Linked DNA regions of Arabidopsis thaliana. The protein of the gene in region 3 interacts with the protein of the main gene of each other region in a pairwise test. Each region holds a gene or a part of one and is shown on either strand. Other genes may lie near its edges.

Region 1 (5,566 bases), on a different chromosome or scaffold from region 3:
ATTTCAAAATCAATTTTTTCTGCAAATGTTGATCACACAAATCAATTGTATATACATATATAAGCAACGAGATCATTGATGACACCGAATGTGGTGTAATCGAATTGAAAAATTGGAGCTTTAGATGAATTTGATTACCTAGGGAAAAATGGCCAATGAGATTAACAATGAAGGAGAAGAATAACAAACAAACAAAAGATGAGATTTTTGGGTAAAAGAGAAGAATGTTTCTAGAGATTGAAGTTTTTCAAAAGTTGAGGTTTTTGATTTGCGAGAGAGAGAGAGAGAAGAGAGACGCAGAGAAGCGCTCTCAAAATAACGCGGGTGGGTGACAAACTCCAAACAAAATAAAAACTAAACCTTTCTCTCTCGAAATTCTCTCTTTTTATTTCTTATTCTTGAAATTATTTTTGATTTTATTCGTTGCACTTGAATCATGGGTGAAATCATCTTCAATCTATTAATAATTTTGTCTTATCTTATTTTTATTTTTTTCAAATAGTAAATTCATAAATTGCATGTGGAGGTTTTTGAGGGAACGTTTTTATCTATTTCTTTCTTTTTTTAGCCAATTCCAGAAACTCTTTTATTTTCTTTACTCATCTCTTAGTTTTGTTAACCAAATAAAACAGATCATCCAAATTTAGATTTTTATTGGGATCTTACCTAAAAAGATTGTGTAGGATGTCTATGCATGTATGTTTTTAAAAACATGGTATATAGTTGAGACATTATGTTGTGCACGTTGAGCTTTAAATACCTCCATTAAATCTTTATTAATAACATATCAACCCCCTTGCACTAAATTAAAATCTTCACAACATTAAGATATAACCAGAATTGTTTGATGAGCTATTCAATATATTGACGTCATGACATGGCAAACTACAAGAACCAAACTTTAAGTTGCACTAACAAGTAACAAATAAGACCGTTTTTTAAATGATGAAACAAGAAAAACTAAAAAAAAACATTAGTCTCTCTTTCTCTCTGTCTGAGTCTTAAAAATGCATAAGCTGCTAAAGAGAACAAACAAAGCGAAAACGAGACAACATCCAACAACATACATCACAGAGCTTCTTCTAATGTTTTCTTTTTCCTGCAACACTCTTTTGTAAACGATTGAATAGGGAAGAGAGATCTTGGATGTTGGTTTTACCTATATGATTCAGGACGTTTTGGTTTGCTCTGTATCACTTGCTCAATCTTGTCCAGAACAATAGGGGTCAACAATGGGATCACATCAACAGCTTTCATATTTTCTTGAATCTGTCAAGGTACAAAAAAAGAAACAAAATCTTTCAGATCTTGGATCCAAATCTAGACCGAGACTCGCTATGTTAATGCTTTATAAGCGATCAAGAACTAACCTGTGACTCCCTTGTGGCACCAGTGATAACAGATGACACATTAGGATTTGAAGCACACCATGCGATTGCAAGCTGAGCCAAGGTTACACCTAGCTCATCTGCAATGGGTTTGAGACCGCTAACTTTCCTCAGCACGTCATCCACAAGTGATCTATTGGCAAGGTTCTGCGAAAGAAATTAAAACCAAGACATGTACCAGTGTATTAGTTAGATGCAGAAGCAGATTGAGGTCTTAGCAAATATGACCAAGAATACACAAGAAAAAGGAAAAAAAAGGAATACTTTGTAGTTCTCCAATGCAAATCGGCTGTCTGAGGGAATAGCTCCCTTGTTGTATTTACCAGTGAGCACACCAGATGCAAGTGGGCTCCAGGTAGTGAGACCTATACCATGGTTGGTGTACAGAGGAAGAAACTCTGTCTCAACCTACATAACAGAAGAGCATAACTTGAGCTACATAACACGAGACTACAACAACTTAAGACTGTACAAGATAAGACGCAAACATGAAAGTAAATTAAAGAAAAAGAGAGTCAGATTACAAACTTTGTGCCTAGCGAACATGTTGTATTCTGGCTGTTCGACAATTGGACCAACCAAATCCAACCGGTCAGCAGCTCCCCATGCCTCCGTAATTTGTTGAGCTGACCATTCACTGGTTCCCCAATAGAAGGCCCAACCCTTATCAATCACGTAGTTCATCGCCCTCACAGTCTCTTCGATAGGAGTTGAAGCATCCGGCCTGTAATAAATGACCCAATTCACACAAAAAAAGGAAACATTTTTAATAAACATATGTCAATCAAAGAATCTAGTGACACTTAGATCAATGCAAAGATGCCACTTTTCCAAAATATCTTGTGCAATGTATGGCAAAATGCAGATCCCAATTATCAGATATGAAATAAAAGTGGAAACCAAATAGATCCACACTATACAGCACTAAGCTACATCATAAGTGGATTCAAATTGTAAATTTTATAAATTCAAAAACAGCAATTTGTACTAAAGGCAAGCACATGTAAGAAAATTAAATGCGCAGACAACATAGTACACCAGAAATATTCAGATAAACCTTACACTCAAATCAGATCATATCAAAACCCTAGATCTTCAAAGAACCAAGTGAAAAAAAATAAAATCACTAAATAAAAAAACAAATCTGAAATTGGTCACCTGTGGCAATAGAGCACATCAACGTAATCCATATCAAGTCGTTTGAGAGAAGCTTTAGTGCCTTCAACGATATGTTTCCTAGATAAACCCTTATCGTTAGGACCAGGACCACCCCAGAAGATCTTGGTAGAGATGACGATATCGGATCGACGCCAACCCAGTTCACGAATCGCTTGACCCATAATCTCCTCAGCGCGACCATTAGCGTAAACCTCAGCGTTATCGAAGAAATTGACTCCATGATCACGACAACACTGAAGAATCGATTTCGCTTCTTTCACATCGAGCTGGTTCCCGAACGTAACCCACGCTCCGAACGAGAGCGTGCTCACTTTTAAACCCGATTTCCCCAGATTCTTGTACTGCATGTTTTCAGAAATCGATTCAAATCTGTTGATCTAAATCTCACTATCGCTCTCTCTCTCTTTAGGTCTCAAAGAGTTTGTTGTAATGAATGAAGAAGAACAGACAATAAGTACTCTATTACCAATCTTAATAAGTGACAACACTTAGCAAAATACGGTAAGCTACCGGTTTGGTTTTACTTTTCCGGTTTTCATGATCAACCAATATGTACCAAAATTTTGAATGTAATATCATAGCAAATCCAACACTCGAATACGATGATTTCTGCAATTTCCGGTACAAAATTAGGTACCAAACCATATTGAACCTCCAGATATTGGTTGTTGGTAAGAATTTATCCGGTCTAAAGGTATTCCGGTTAAGTCGCAATTTGTATAAAATATGTGATTTTAATTCGTGATCTAATTAAGATGCTGATCCCTCGTACTAAAAAAGAAAGCGTGATCTCGTAATTTTAATTAAGATGGAAAAAAAAGACTAAAAAGAGAAGATTTTTATTTGGCTCCTAATGGGTCAAAGAATCCCATGTGAATGACTTTAGTGTAGTCTCCATGTACCTACCAATCTAATGACAGACACGTGTACTTTCTTTTATGAAAAGTTGGTCATTAATAGAAGAGTTTTTGCAGTAATGGAAGAACTTTGCCCGTATACGAATAAAATCAAGTCACTGTCACGTGAAAGGTTTCATCAGTCACTCAACTTTGGAATATTTCAAGTCCTTCACGTTCACACTGGGTTTTAGGTTGTTGGGCTTTGTTTCTGTATAGGCCTTTTAGGAAGCCCATATTATCTTACTCCATATTCTAGTAAGTAGTAACTCACGTCACACATAGAGATGTTTGGATATGTAAACAAGAGATCGACATGACACTTGTATATTATTAACATCTAATTCCAAAATTTAATGATTTTGGCTGATAACCGTCAAGTCTTGATATGCTGTTATTGTAATACATTTATGATGATCATTTATATAGTTTATGGGACGACAATTTTAATACTCTAAAAAGTTTTTTAAAGTAGACATGTTATCCACCAATTACACTTATTGTATTTTGACAATTTTTAGAAAAGGTCTATTATATTAGCTATTTTACTATGTTACCAAACATGTTATGTATAACTCTTTACTATAAAAAAAAGTCTTAAAAGGAGTTGTATTTGTATTGTTAAAGTAAAGAATATTAGAAGGGGAAAAGAAAAATAGATTTAGTAATAATGTTTGAGAATCAAGTTTATGATTATGAGAAGATAATATTGGATAAAGAGAACCAAGTTTATGATTATGAGAAGATAATTAATATTGGTAGACTTGATGAATTATAAAATTTATCTGCTGTTTTGGTAATGAATGGGTTGGAGAAACAGATTGGATTCGATGCATGTGAGTGTGGGGTTTGGATTCGTTACCCTCTAAAAACTCTAGTTTTATTGGCCACCAAGAAAAAAATAAGAGGAAGATAGATTAGAAAATTCGCCTAAATCTCCCACCAAGGGTTGACATTTTTTCTCGATTTTTTCTCGTACGTTATCAAATCCTAATCTAGCTTTATCTGCCCTTTTCTTTCATGTACCCCGATACTAATCATATGGTTTTTTGCTATGTTAAGCACATGCATGCTATTATAAACGGCTTCATATATAATTCCCTACCACAGTTTTTTTAAAACGTATGATTTTACTTTTACCTAGCTATATGATACATGATATATTGCTATTAGTTGTAAGAAATTTTGAGTTTTTGCAAATTATTCAAGATCTGATATATATAAACCGATACATTTTGATGAACCACTCGATTAAGAGTACTACTAACCAAATATGACGTTTTTGAGAAAGAATTTTATCATACCTTTGGATTTAAACCAATTTATCTTACTATTTATATAGCTTTTCGCAGTATTTTTTAAAACACAAAAAAGTATTTTTCTGTTGAAATTGTATGGATTATGAAGATCACAGGATCAACTTAGTTCACGGGTATCGTTTTTAGAAGATTTCTATCATCTATACTATACTTATAAGTTTAAACTCTCCACTTTTTTCCATTTGATTAGAGAGGCACAGTGAGTGTTTCATGTGAGTCTTTTCTAACATTTTGTAGTTTACTTTTCGTTTCTTGTTTTTGTTGAATTTTTAGAATACTTGTCTTCGACTAACTTCTAAAGAAAACGGTAAAGTGCCGTTTTATTTTATCTGCGAGGATTGGGAAATATATATGAGTCATTTTCCAGCAAATCTTTAATCGCCGATCTCTAATCGTATGTTGATCTCTAATCGCGCAAGAAAACCGTATATATTTTAGAACAGTATCTTAGGTAGATCTCACATGCATTTTTCATCTTTTTTTGCTAATTCGTAATATAATGACACCGCATAGTTAGAAGAAATTAATTTGACACGTCTCAATCGAATTTAACGTTGCAATGACACGATAAAGATCATTTATATGAAAATTACGGAAGAACCTTCTAGCGTACGTCCGATCGAGAGGATCTAAAATCTTTTGGTTTCTTTCTTGTGTGCAAATTTTGTCATTTAGTTTTATATAACAAAGACAAAAACAACACATAACTAAACTAAAAACAAAACCACGTCTCTTCGTAGCACAAAACGACGACGTACAATGTCGATAGGATCCAAGTTCCAAC
Region 2 (5,869 bases), 4.3 Mb from region 3:
AAAAAAAACAGAGTTTTAACAAGTTCTTGTTTGTTATTGGACCAGATTGTTTCTCAACACACTTCAAGGAACTTTATGAAGTCTAAAAAGGCAAACAAGAAGTTTGATTTCAAAGTTTTCACAGAGACATTGCCTAGTAAACTCGAAGGTAACTCATACATACCCGTTGAGCTTTATGGTTTGACTAAAGACAAGACAGACTATGGATGGTACACAACAAGGTAAAGAATTTACTTTTATGTGATTGTTTATTGAATATATAAAAGAAGAGAATTTTGAAGTTGAATTTTGCTTTGCAGCTTCAAGGTTCACAAGAATCACTTACCTACCAAGAAAGGAGTTAAGACTTTTGTGAGGATTGCTAGTCTTGGACACGCGTTGCACGCTTGGCTTAACGGAGAATACCTTGGTAAGAATTTGTGCAAGAATGATCTACAAGTACTACAACAATGAGCTATAATAATGATATCTTCTTAACAGGAAGTGGACATGGAAGCCACGAAGAGAAGAGTTTTGTTTTCCAAAAACAGGTTACACTAAAAGCAGGAGAGAATCATCTTGTAATGCTTGGTGTTCTCACAGGATTCCCAGTAAGTAATTAACAAACATAATTCAATATCTATAGATGAAGATTTGTTTCGTTAATGTTTGGGATTTTTGGTTCTTACAGGACAGTGGATCTTACATGGAGCATAGATACACCGGTCCTCGTGGTATTTCCATCTTAGGATTGACTTCTGGAACACTTGATCTCACTGAGAGCAGCAAATGGGGAAACAAGGTTTATAAACAATTTCTCCGTTATTGTATTTCAACATTGAGTATGCATTTCCTTCTTCTGATCCGTTTTTTTCGATCATTAGATCGGTATGGAAGGTGAAAAACTTGGAATCCACACTGAGGAAGGTTTAAAGAAGGTCGAATGGAAAAAATTCACCGGAAAAGCACCAGGACTTACATGGTACCAGGTAAGAGACAAAAACAAAAATCAAACTATACAGAGTATGATTGGTATGATATGTAGAAGTTTTCTAAGGAATGTGAAACATTGCAGACATACTTTGATGCACCAGAGAGCGTAAGCGCAGCAACGATTCGCATGCATGGAATGGGAAAAGGGTTGATTTGGGTGAACGGAGAAGGCGTTGGAAGATATTGGCAATCGTTCTTGTCTCCATTAGGTCAACCTACACAAATAGAGTATCACATCCCTAGATCTTTCTTAAAGCCCAAGAAGAACCTTCTTGTTATCTTTGAGGAAGAGCCTAATGTGAAGCCTGAGCTTATGGACTTTGCCATCGTTAACAGAGACACTGTTTGTTCTTACGTTGGAGAAAACTACACTCCAAGTGTTAGACACTGGACTAGGAAGAAAGATCAAGTTCAAGCCATCACAGATAACGTGAGTCTCACGGCTACTCTTAAATGCTCAGGCACTAAGAAGATCGCAGCAGTTGAGTTCGCTAGCTTCGGAAACCCTATTGGTGTTTGTGGAAACTTCACACTTGGTACTTGTAATGCTCCTGTTTCAAAGCAAGTCATCGAGAAGGTAAAATATTATATCTTGTTTCTTCTTGCTATATAGTTTGTACCTTATGATAGGAGTAACCAATAAAAAAAATCTATTGCAGCACTGTTTGGGGAAAGCTGAATGTGTGATTCCGGTGAACAAGAGCACGTTTCAACAAGACAAGAAGGATTCATGTAAGAACGTTGTGAAGATGCTTGCCGTGCAAGTCAAGTGTGGTCGTGGGAAGAAGAACTGAAGAGTGTATATCATCACATTACATATGGTTCATGTATTGTGTTTAGTAGACCAATTTCAAAGTGTTGTGACATCGATTTTTGTCGTTCTGTTTGTATTTGATTTCTTCAATTTAACTCTAATACACGAGTAATATATTCGAATATGATCCAGAAAACATAAATCACCGGAAAAAATAATGGTTTATGTCCATTTTTATTCAATGTTTCCATTTTACAAAATTTAAGGAATGAACATGCACGCTGTTTAACAAATAACTAGCAAACTCGTGTGCCGTTTTTTGTGTAACAAAATGACATGCAAGTCACGTGCCAACAATCGTATCTAAAAAGCCAATGAGGTCCACCGAAAGATGTGGCTGAGGAAAACAGGAGATAACTGACACCGCCCATTCAAATCCCGTTTCTCATTGGGTGGTTTTATCTCTTTGGCCCAAATTTCGGTGTAACCAAAAAAAATCTTCACACACATCCTTGACCATTTTCTTGTTCATCGCTCTCTTTCTTCTTCACAAATCCTAAACGAGTAGGAGCTATGGCTGCACCGATTGTTGATGCGGAGTACTTGAAAGAGATCACTAAGGCTCGCCGTGAGCTCCGTTCTCTCATCGCGAACAAGAACTGTGCTCCTATCATGCTCCGATTGGCGTAAGTTTTCGATTTCCTTGGTTTTTCGTCGAGTTGACTGTTACAGATTTCGTTTATTCATGTGGAGATCGTTCGATTGTAGTTAGGCTGTAGAATCGATTTTGTTTGTTTTTGAATGTTGAAATGTTTGTATCATCTGGTTTTTATGAAGATGGCACGATGCTGGAACCTATGATGCTCAATCGAAGACCGGTGGACCTAATGGCTCTATCAGGAACGAAGAAGAGCACACTCATGGTGCCAACAGTGGTTTGAAGATCGCTCTCGATCTCTGTGGTAGGATTTTGATTTAGTTTTTGTAGATTCACTTTCTGGATAATTTCATGCGATGTATCCGTTTTATGTTGTGGTTTAAGAACACTGTTCAAAATAATTACATTATGCTTTTGGAAATGGACTTTGTATCGCTTAATTATGAGATCCTATCTTTGATGTTTCAGAGGGCGTGAAAGCTAAGCATCCCAAAATCACATACGCAGACCTGTATCAGGTGAGTTAAGGCTGTGAGAGAAATCTTTTTGATGTCCTTGTTGCTTTTTCTGCACATTTGTTTTTCAAAGTTCGCTGGAACTGTATTCGGCTTGTGTCATTACCTCGTCCCAGGTTTGAGCTTGTTGTTTAGGAGACTTAGTTGATAGTTGAGCAGCTGTGTAAATATGGTTTCAGTTGTAATTTGTTTCAGGAGATGTTACTGATTGTGATTTGGTTTACAAAAATCATAGATTGACTATGTTGTTCAACTAGAACTTTTATCTCTTGCAGTAATAGCTAAATTCAAGTAAAATATACACTGAATGAATTCAAACGACCAAGAAGGAAACTGTAATGTAATGTCAATCTGTTTCCATCCTAAGTCACATGTCTGTCGTCTGTACCTATAACCTGTCTCTACGACTGTTTGTATTGCCGTTTCTCCATTTTATATTTGGTCTTACAAGGTCGAGGCTTTATTTATGAATTCCCAATAGAAGTGTACCAGTTTAATGGCAATTAAGTTTTGGGTATGAATTATTTACTTTTAAGTGTTTTGTTTCAGCTTGCTGGTGTGGTAGCAGTTGAGGTTACTGGTGGACCTGACATCGTGTTCGTTCCCGGGAGAAAGGTATACTTTCTCATCTCTTGAGACATTATAACAGCTTATCAGTTTAACACTAAAGCAAACATAATTACTGTATGTTTCTTCTTGATAGGATTCAAATGTCTGCCCCAAGGAAGGAAGACTTCCTGATGCCAAACAAGGTACACTAAATTCTTGTATCAATTATAACAAACTTTTCATGTTTTCTACTGATAATCTTGTTTTGGAATTGGAAGATTTTTTCTATGAATTCACATTGTTTATATCTCTGTAGGTTTCCAACATCTCAGAGATGTCTTCTACCGCATGGGACTATCTGATAAGGATATTGTGGCACTCTCAGGGGGTCATACTCTGGTAAATTCATTGGTCACTTACTTAACTTCCGTTGTTTTTGAACAAATATGCTTGTTGTGCTTATGACCACATTGGGTGTTTAGGGAAGGGCTCACCCGGAGAGGTCAGGCTTTGATGGACCATGGACCCAAGAGCCGCTGAAGTTTGACAACTCCTACTTCGTGTAATTTTCATTTCTTTATCCTCAGAGATTTTCTTTGTGCATTTTTTTAATCTTTTCTGTTTGTGTCTCCAAGAAATAAAAGCAGCAAACAGATACTTTTTTACATGATCGGTTATCCATGATTATTTACTGTTTTGGTACCAGGGAACTGCTGAAAGGAGAATCAGAGGGCTTGTTGAAACTTCCAACTGACAAGACCTTATTGGAAGACCCGGAGTTCCGTCGTCTTGTTGAGCTTTATGCAAAGGTATAATATACTGGAGATCTTCTCTGCCTCTTTGCCATTTGTTTCTTGCGTTGCTATAATAACCATTGGAACATAACTCGATTTCCTTTATTGGTTTCACATTTTCACTGAATCCACAAGCACACACACTGAATCACAAACCAAATTATCTAGGGTTTTGTTCTAGAGAACCCCACGGATCCTTATCGCCTTTATAGTTGCTGATGTTGCAAAATGATAAAATGAACACTCTTACTACTATCAGTGAGAACTGTAATATTAGCTTTTTGTTAGAACCGTAAACAGAAATTCCTATGGTTCTTTATGATTTCCTTGCTTAATTAAGTTTCAATAAGATAAGAAAGTGTTGTTATGTGTTGACAAGTTCAGTTTGTGGTGGCAGGATGAAGATGCATTCTTCAGAGACTACGCGGAATCGCACAAGAAACTCTCTGAGCTTGGTTTCAACCCAAACTCCTCAGCAGGCAAAGCAGTTGCAGACAGCACGATTCTGGCACAGAGTGCGTTCGGGGTTGCAGTTGCTGCTGCGGTTGTGGCATTTGGTTACTTTTACGAGATCCGGAAGAGGATGAAGTAAACGAAATAGGAAGTAAAACACGAAGCAACGATGCTCTTATTTGGGTATTAAAGAAACTATTAATCGTCTATCGAATCTATTTTGCTGCTACAAGATTCTAAACTCTTTGAATCCACGATTCTACTGTTTAGTAGTAAAAAAGTTAAAAAGTCAATATTTTGGGTCCGTGATTCATTTTTGCGATATTTGTTCATTGCAATGTTCGTTTCACTTATTAATTAGTACCAAAGAAAAAGAAAAAAGAAAGAAACAAAGATCGGTCGATATCTACCAAAGTGGGGACATAACCTGAAACTTGACCTAACCTGGTAGTGGTAGGTTTAGTTAGGTAGGAAACTTCTACTAAGAAATTAAAATTAAATTTTTTTTTGCTTTCGTATTTTCATTAAAGAAGATAATATATGATGTTGGTTGCCAGTTACCTAAATATAGGCTCGGGATGACATGTAATGGACGCAAAGTAGCAAATAGCTTTATTCAAGTTGACATAAAAGAATTGTTGTTACGTAAAAGAAGTGTACTGTATTTTAACAGAATGTGAAATCACCTAACAATAACTTATATAAGAAACTAAAAGAAAGAAACGCATGTCTTCTAAATTTGGCAAGAACGAAGGTTTTGTAACTTGTAAGTAGTTTAAATAAATAAACCATACATTTTTAATAATTAGGAAATATATGTTACATGTTGCACTTTGTATACATTCTAAAAGTCGTATAATGTACCTATTTTTTTAAGATTTGTTTGGTGTGTGTGTAGATAACAAATCACATGTCAATTCTATCCCATTTCTATTTTCTTCGTTATTAAATATACAAATATGTCGGTAGGAGTTCAGAGTAAATGTACACCATGAAATCTACCAAACTCTTTTAAGATTGTCTTTCAGGTATCAAACAAACTTTCACCAATAAAGCTTTTTCCCTTTTCCAAATAAAGAACTCCAAACAAGAATAAAAACCACAATCATTATTCGATATGTTTTTATCGATACTTATTTCAAAATATCCCCTTACCTATTTACAAAAGCATTTC
Region 3 (5,825 bases):
CAGAAGAAAACAAATAGACTCAATTAGCAACCGATGCACATACCTTCACCATTGTCATCTGCACTTAACACAAAAACCATGTACTTGATGAGTGAAAGGAGAGTGATGGTCCAAAATATCAAAGAAAACGCGCCAAATATCGTATCTTCTGTTTGGTGATGTCTCAATCCTCCGTAGAATGTACATTTATACACATAGAGAGGAGAAATACTCAAATCTCCAAACACTAAGCCAAAACTCTGGTATGCTAAAAGGAGGATCTGGTTACACCTGTTTCTCCTATCAGCCTGATTCAATAGAAGACAACAACAAACTTATAACACCACGCTGGTCAAAACTACACACATATATAAACAGATATTGCCGAACATTTTAACGTTTGGATAGATTATCAATGAATGGCTCATAAGCTATCACAAGAAGCTTAAACTTCGAGAGCTTACAAATCAAAACATAAGCTCAGAGATGCATTAAAACGAATCGCTAACAGTAATTTTACTTTCAAGAGTGATATTGAGTTGGATTTGAATATCCTGATTGAAAAATTTAGAATCAGAAGCTAAATTCAATGAATATTGGCATCATTCATTTTCAGAATTCTCTCACCATTTCTATTCACATCATCACAGTACAACAATTGTAATTCCGCAGGAGTAGCAATAAGGAATCTAGGGGTTTAAGATTTCCGACGTATCGGTCGAGAGAAGGGAGCGACATACCATGATTCAAGCCGCCGGCGAGTAAGATGCGGCGTAGCTTGGATCTTCAACGATCAGAGATTACACGCCGGAGACTAGTTCTTTGGAATCGGAATCGAATCTAGAGAAAAACGATCAACGATCATTTGTTGTTTTTATTATCGAGAGAAGAAAAATTTAACAAATTCGATCCAAAGCTCGCGGTCCTTCTTCTTCTTCCAGTTTTTTTTTTATATATATCTCAGTTGATTTTTTATTCGTTCTTTTAATTTTTTTTACTCATTTTAGTTGTCCGATTTCTCTGTGAGAAAATGTCACCAAGATTATTAGATTTCGTCATTTTTCATGTATAAAAATCGGATTTGAAACTTCTAATCCCTCCTACTGCACCTTGCTTATTTTTTTATTGCCTTGATTAGATATAATCTCAAATTTGTTTGTAAGGGTTAAGATTATCATTCTATAATTTTTTAAGTGAATTTCAGCTTCAAATCATGCAAGAATCAACCTGTAATTATTATATATTGAATCTCTCATAAGTCATTAACCAAACCTGCAAATGGCTTTCTGATCTCAAAGTATTTTTTATGTTGTGTTGATAAAAAGAGATTGCAGGAAACAAAATAATTGATTGTAACAGAAACACAAAGTTTGAGTAAAGTGATAACCAAAAACAAACAAACAACATCAAAAGATCTCTCACATTCTGCGTCGGTTTGGCACCAATTCTGGATTTCCCTTCTTCATCATCGCTACAAATTCTTCGTAGTTGATTTTTCCGTCCTAAAGATTCGAATACAAAGATGAGAAGAGAGTGTTAAACTTACACGTATACTTACAGATGTATGAATTGGACGAAACCAGAGATTTACGTATACTTACACGATCGGTGTCTACTTCAGCAATGATCTCTTTGATGGATTTATCATCACCCATGTTGTATTTCTTCATGGCTAGCTCTAGCTCTTCCATTGTTATGTAGCTAATATCACAAATCAAGATCAAAGAGTGAGACTTTATTTATAGCTTGTTAAAGAAAGAAATAGAGAGCTAAAGAACAATGTTTTACCCGCTGTTGTCATTGTCAAAGAACTGGAATGCGGTGTACAAGTGATCCTCACGTTCGATTCTGTTCATATGCATTGTGGCTGATATAAACTCCAAGTAATCAATTGATCCATCTCCATCCATATCAGCCTAAAAGAAACAAAGCATCATAAGCATTATTGCTTTGACATCAAAGTAGTGGATTGTGATAGACTTACTGCTTCCATTAACTGCCTTATTTCAGCTTCAGAGATCTTTGAACCAAGTTTTGGGAGACCGGTTCTCAATTCCTCCAAGGTGACTATTCCATTGTTATCAGTGTCTAGAGATTTGAACATCTCTTTAAGACCAATGATTTCTTCTTCAGAAAGGTTCTCAGCGATAACCTGAAATTGCAAAACGAAAACCAAAGATTGGCTTTAGAACAAGAAGACTACATAAACTACAATAGTGATGGTAAGACTGTTTCAATCAGTGTTTTAATTACCTTCAGGGCCATTTTTTTTAGTTTGTTCATCGCCCGGAATTGTTTCATCCTGGATAACACCGCATTGTCAAGCGGTTTGTCTGATGCCTCCCCATCTTCTCTAATCCACGGATGATCTGCGTATGTATCAAAACGTTATTAAAATTGGATAAAAGAAGGTGTTTTCATCAATTTATTCATCAAAACATGTTATAAAGGGGTCTTACTTAGCACTTCCGCAGCTGTAAGCCGATCTTTAGGGTCATATTTTAACATTTTCCTCACAAGATCTTTGGCACCATCTGATAGTGCTGGCCATGGATCAGCTGAAAAATCAAGTTGCCCTTGAAGAATGGCATCAAAGATCCCCGTTTCATTTTCTGCACAACAGAAAGAACGTGACTATACATTCCAGTCCAACATTTAAACAGTGAAACCAAATTCTCTTCTCAAATAAGATCAAGACAATACCTCCCCAGAAAGGCGGAACACCACTGAGAAGGATGTATAGAATCACACCAGCACTCCAGATATCAGCCTCTGGTCCATAGTTCCGTTTTAGAACTTCTGGGGCAACATAGTATGCACTTCCAACAAGATCCTTAAACTTATCACCTGCATTAATGGATCAACTTCATTAGAGGGATAAATTGTCTATAGAAATCAAATAGGGAAGGATAGAGGCTGTTCAAACCTGGCTTGAAGAAGACAGAGAGACCAAAGTCTGTAGCTTTCAATGGTGAGTTCTCATCTTTACTAAGAAAGAGAAAGTTTTCGGGCTTCAAGTCTCGGTGCATTACACCCATAGAATGACAACTATGCACAACCATCACCATCTGCCTACACAAATCCGCAGCAGCTCTCTCTGAGTAAAGACCTTTAGAAATGATCCTATCGAACAATTCCCCTCCTTCACACAACTCCATTATCAGATTCACAGAGTGTCTGTCCTCGTAGGCTCCCTTCAAGTCCACTATGTTCCTATAATCAACTCACCAATTTGAAACTCAGGTAAATATAAATATGCAAAAAGGGAAACTTTTTCAAGAGTTTAACATAGGACCACCAAACTTTTCATCCACATATGATGCAAACCATTCATTAATATAGAAAACGAATCCTATGTCTAAATATTCACCAATATTCCAACAAAAGGCGTTTCAGATTCGATTTCGGAAAATGTCAAAGAAGCATTTTCCAGTGAGATACAAAAAAAGAGATTTACCGGTGACCGCTGAGATGGTGCATAATCTGGACTTCACGGCGAACATCTTCAATGTCGTCTTTGTGAACAAGGCGGCGCGTAGGGATTGACTTGCAAGCGACCTGTTGTTTCGTCTCTTTGTGAGTTACGAGGTACGTGACACCAAACTGGCCACGACCAAGCTCACGACCAAACTCATAGGTTCTCCGTACTTCCTCCATCGGCCGACCTAAGATCCGACCATTCTGCTGAGTAGATGTGGTGGAACGAGATCCGCCTGTTCCGGAGCCTGACGATCCGACGGTTCCGGAACCGGATGATCCGCGGCGTTCTCCGGCAGGTTTAACATGGTGGACTACGTTGCCGGAGGAAGAGGAGGAGGAGGACGGTGGCGGATCGGAGGATTTGGACTTGCTGTGTCTGTGGCCCATTGTCAAAAGCTTTCTCTCAGTCAATAAAGTCAATCGAGAGAGAAAGATTGTATCTCCGATTCTTATGGCTTTTTAATGTCTGAGATCAGACACGATGACCACGTGGCGTGTTTTTATTGGTACGTAGTTGAACCGCGTATAAACAAAAGTATTTGTCCCATTGGAAGATAAATTAGTGGATGTGGAAATCTTCTGCATATTAGTTGTTTCCACTTCTCCAATCAATCACACGGCTAATTCAATGTTAATCTTTTGCAATTTGAGATTGAAAAAGGAAAAGTTATTAACATCCTTTAGGTTACAAAATCAATGATATTGCGTATGTCAACTATAAAAGCCAAAAGTAAAGCCTCTTGTTTGACCAGAAGGTCATGATCATTGTATACATACAGCCAAACTACCTCCTGGAAGAAAAGACATGGATCCCAAACAACAACAATAGCTTCTTTTACAAGAACCAGTAGTAACTAGTCACTAATCTAAAAGAGTTAAGTTTCAGCTTTTCTGGCAATGGCTCCTTGATCATTTCAATCCTGAAGGAGACCCACTTTGTAGCAAGACCATGTCCTCTGTTTCACTTACAGTGTGTCTCAAAAGTCTACTTCAATTCTTCATATATAGGTTCCTCACACTACAGCTTCATCCTCATTCGTTGACAGAGAGAGAGTCTTTATTGAAAACTTCTTCCAAGTACAACTCCACTAAATATAATAGCACCAAACCACTTGTTCGACACAAATCTGTACAGATATAAAAACACTATTAGGTTTTCCAAGGCAAATCACATAATTGGATTGTGAAAGAGTACAAAAGATAAACCCAAATTTTCATACTTTCTACTGCAGTCAGCACCAGATGATAAGTCAGCTGTCCCTATTTGCCATCCTAACTGTCCTGATGCAGCGGCCAGTGATGCGTAATATTGCCACCCTTAATCATTAGAGCGAGAAACAAAAAGAATCAAAAGACAGTAAATGGAATTAGGAATCACAAATGAGTCCTTGTAAAGTTTATTGAGTACCGAGATCTGCACTGAATCCAGAAAGTGCAAGAAAACCTATGGATGCTGTGCCAAATCCAGTTAACCAAAGCTTTGTATTATCACCGAATCTAAGGGCTGTTGACTTAACACCAACTTTTACATCATCTTCTTTGTCCTGGAGACACAATATATTAGACATTAGTCCATGGAAAAAAAATGATTTAACCTAGAATATCTCAAAATTACTTGCATAAAAACTGAACTTGAGCTGAAATTTTGGGTTCGTAGCTTGTGGCATATACTATTTCATTTTCAATGGGCCACAAAGGTAACTTTCTTTTCTCACTTCTGTTGCAAACGGGAAGACTTTTATGGGGCTAACTCTTCACTTAAAGTATAGAAATCAGATGGAAAAGGTGGGAGATCAGGGTAATTTTCTTCTTTATGATTGACAAAAGTCGAACATCGAAATGGATGCATTTGCATGAGACATGAAACAAAAGCTGAAAAAGAAATCTGTGGTGGTGAAGCTAGAAAAAGAAAACAAAGCAAGCAATATGCACACATTGAGATTAACTACTTTGCTACTGGTCATAATCAAATAGATTTTGAAGCTAAAAAATAAAAAGTGAATATACCTGATGTGCATAAATAGTATCATAAACAAGGGTCCAGCAGACTCCGGAGAGATAGAGAGGGAGTACAATAGATGGTGCTATGCTTCCTTTAACTGCAGTCCATCCTAACAATGCTCCCCAGTTTATGGTCAAACCTAAAAAGGCTTGAGGCTGCAATTATAAAAACGAATCAATCATAAGAAAATCAGAAAATATATAATGTCTAACTTTGAGAAGCCAGAATAGATTTAAATTACCCAAAATGTAAACCTCTTCATAAGTGGGTAGGAAAAGACAAGTAACAAAGATGAAGCCCCTAAAACACGGCTGCAGAATATACATACTGAAATGAGCTCAAGTAGAAAAGAATTTGATCACAA

Evidence for each region. Proteins that work in one complex are often made in the same cells at the same time.
Region 1: the proteins of CDPK6 (region 3) and KAB1 interact in a protein complementation assay, tested with the Arabidopsis thaliana proteins (one study listed by BioGRID).
Region 2: the proteins of CDPK6 (region 3) and APX3 interact in a protein complementation assay, tested with the Arabidopsis thaliana proteins (one study listed by BioGRID).

The regions. Positions count from the first base shown.
Region 1 is NC_003070.9:1,311,010-1,316,575, reverse strand, and holds KAB1 (potassium channel beta subunit 1), read right to left. Parts: upstream 3,134-5,566; 5' UTR 2,915-3,133; coding exon 2,547-2,914; intron 2,113-2,546; coding exon 1,917-2,112; intron 1,797-1,916; coding exon 1,653-1,796; intron 1,536-1,652; coding exon 1,371-1,535; intron 1,270-1,370; coding exon 1,156-1,269; 3' UTR 753-1,155; downstream 1-752. UniProt on the Arabidopsis thaliana protein: Probable accessory potassium channel protein which modulates the activity of the pore-forming alpha subunit.
Region 2 is NC_003075.7:16,663,972-16,669,840, reverse strand, and holds APX3 (ascorbate peroxidase 3), read left to right. Parts: upstream 1-2,119; 5' UTR 2,120-2,299; coding exon 2,300-2,412; intron 2,413-2,563; coding exon 2,564-2,688; intron 2,689-2,852; coding exon 2,853-2,902; intron 2,903-3,448; coding exon 3,449-3,514; intron 3,515-3,602; coding exon 3,603-3,651; intron 3,652-3,764; coding exon 3,765-3,847; intron 3,848-3,930; coding exon 3,931-4,010; intron 4,011-4,154; coding exon 4,155-4,257; intron 4,258-4,639; coding exon 4,640-4,834; 3' UTR 4,835-5,117; downstream 5,118-5,869. Other genes in the region: BGAL11 (beta-galactosidase 11), read left to right, coding at 46-221, 300-409, 481-590, 671-781, 864-968, 1,055-1,549, 1,632-1,766. UniProt on the Arabidopsis thaliana protein: Plays a key role in hydrogen peroxide removal.
Region 3 is NC_003075.7:12,323,570-12,329,394, forward strand, and holds CDPK6 (calcium-dependent protein kinase 6), read right to left. Parts: upstream 4,083-5,825; 5' UTR 3,847-4,082; coding exon 3,437-3,846; intron 3,193-3,436; coding exon 2,906-3,192; intron 2,827-2,905; coding exon 2,683-2,826; intron 2,592-2,682; coding exon 2,439-2,591; intron 2,349-2,438; coding exon 2,233-2,348; intron 2,132-2,232; coding exon 1,964-2,131; intron 1,896-1,963; coding exon 1,768-1,895; intron 1,681-1,767; coding exon 1,581-1,680; intron 1,482-1,580; coding exon 1,398-1,481; 3' UTR 1,189-1,397; downstream 1-1,188. Other genes in the region: TRH1 (Potassium transporter family protein), read right to left, coding at 44-287, 720-722; PPT1 (polyprenyltransferase 1), read right to left, coding at 4,517-4,586, 4,680-4,776, 4,868-5,003, 5,293-5,358, 5,467-5,616, 5,703-5,772. UniProt on the Arabidopsis thaliana protein: May play a role in signal transduction pathways that involve calcium as a second messenger. Functions in abscisic acid (ABA) regulation of guard cell S-type anion- and Ca(2+)-permeable channels and stomatal closure.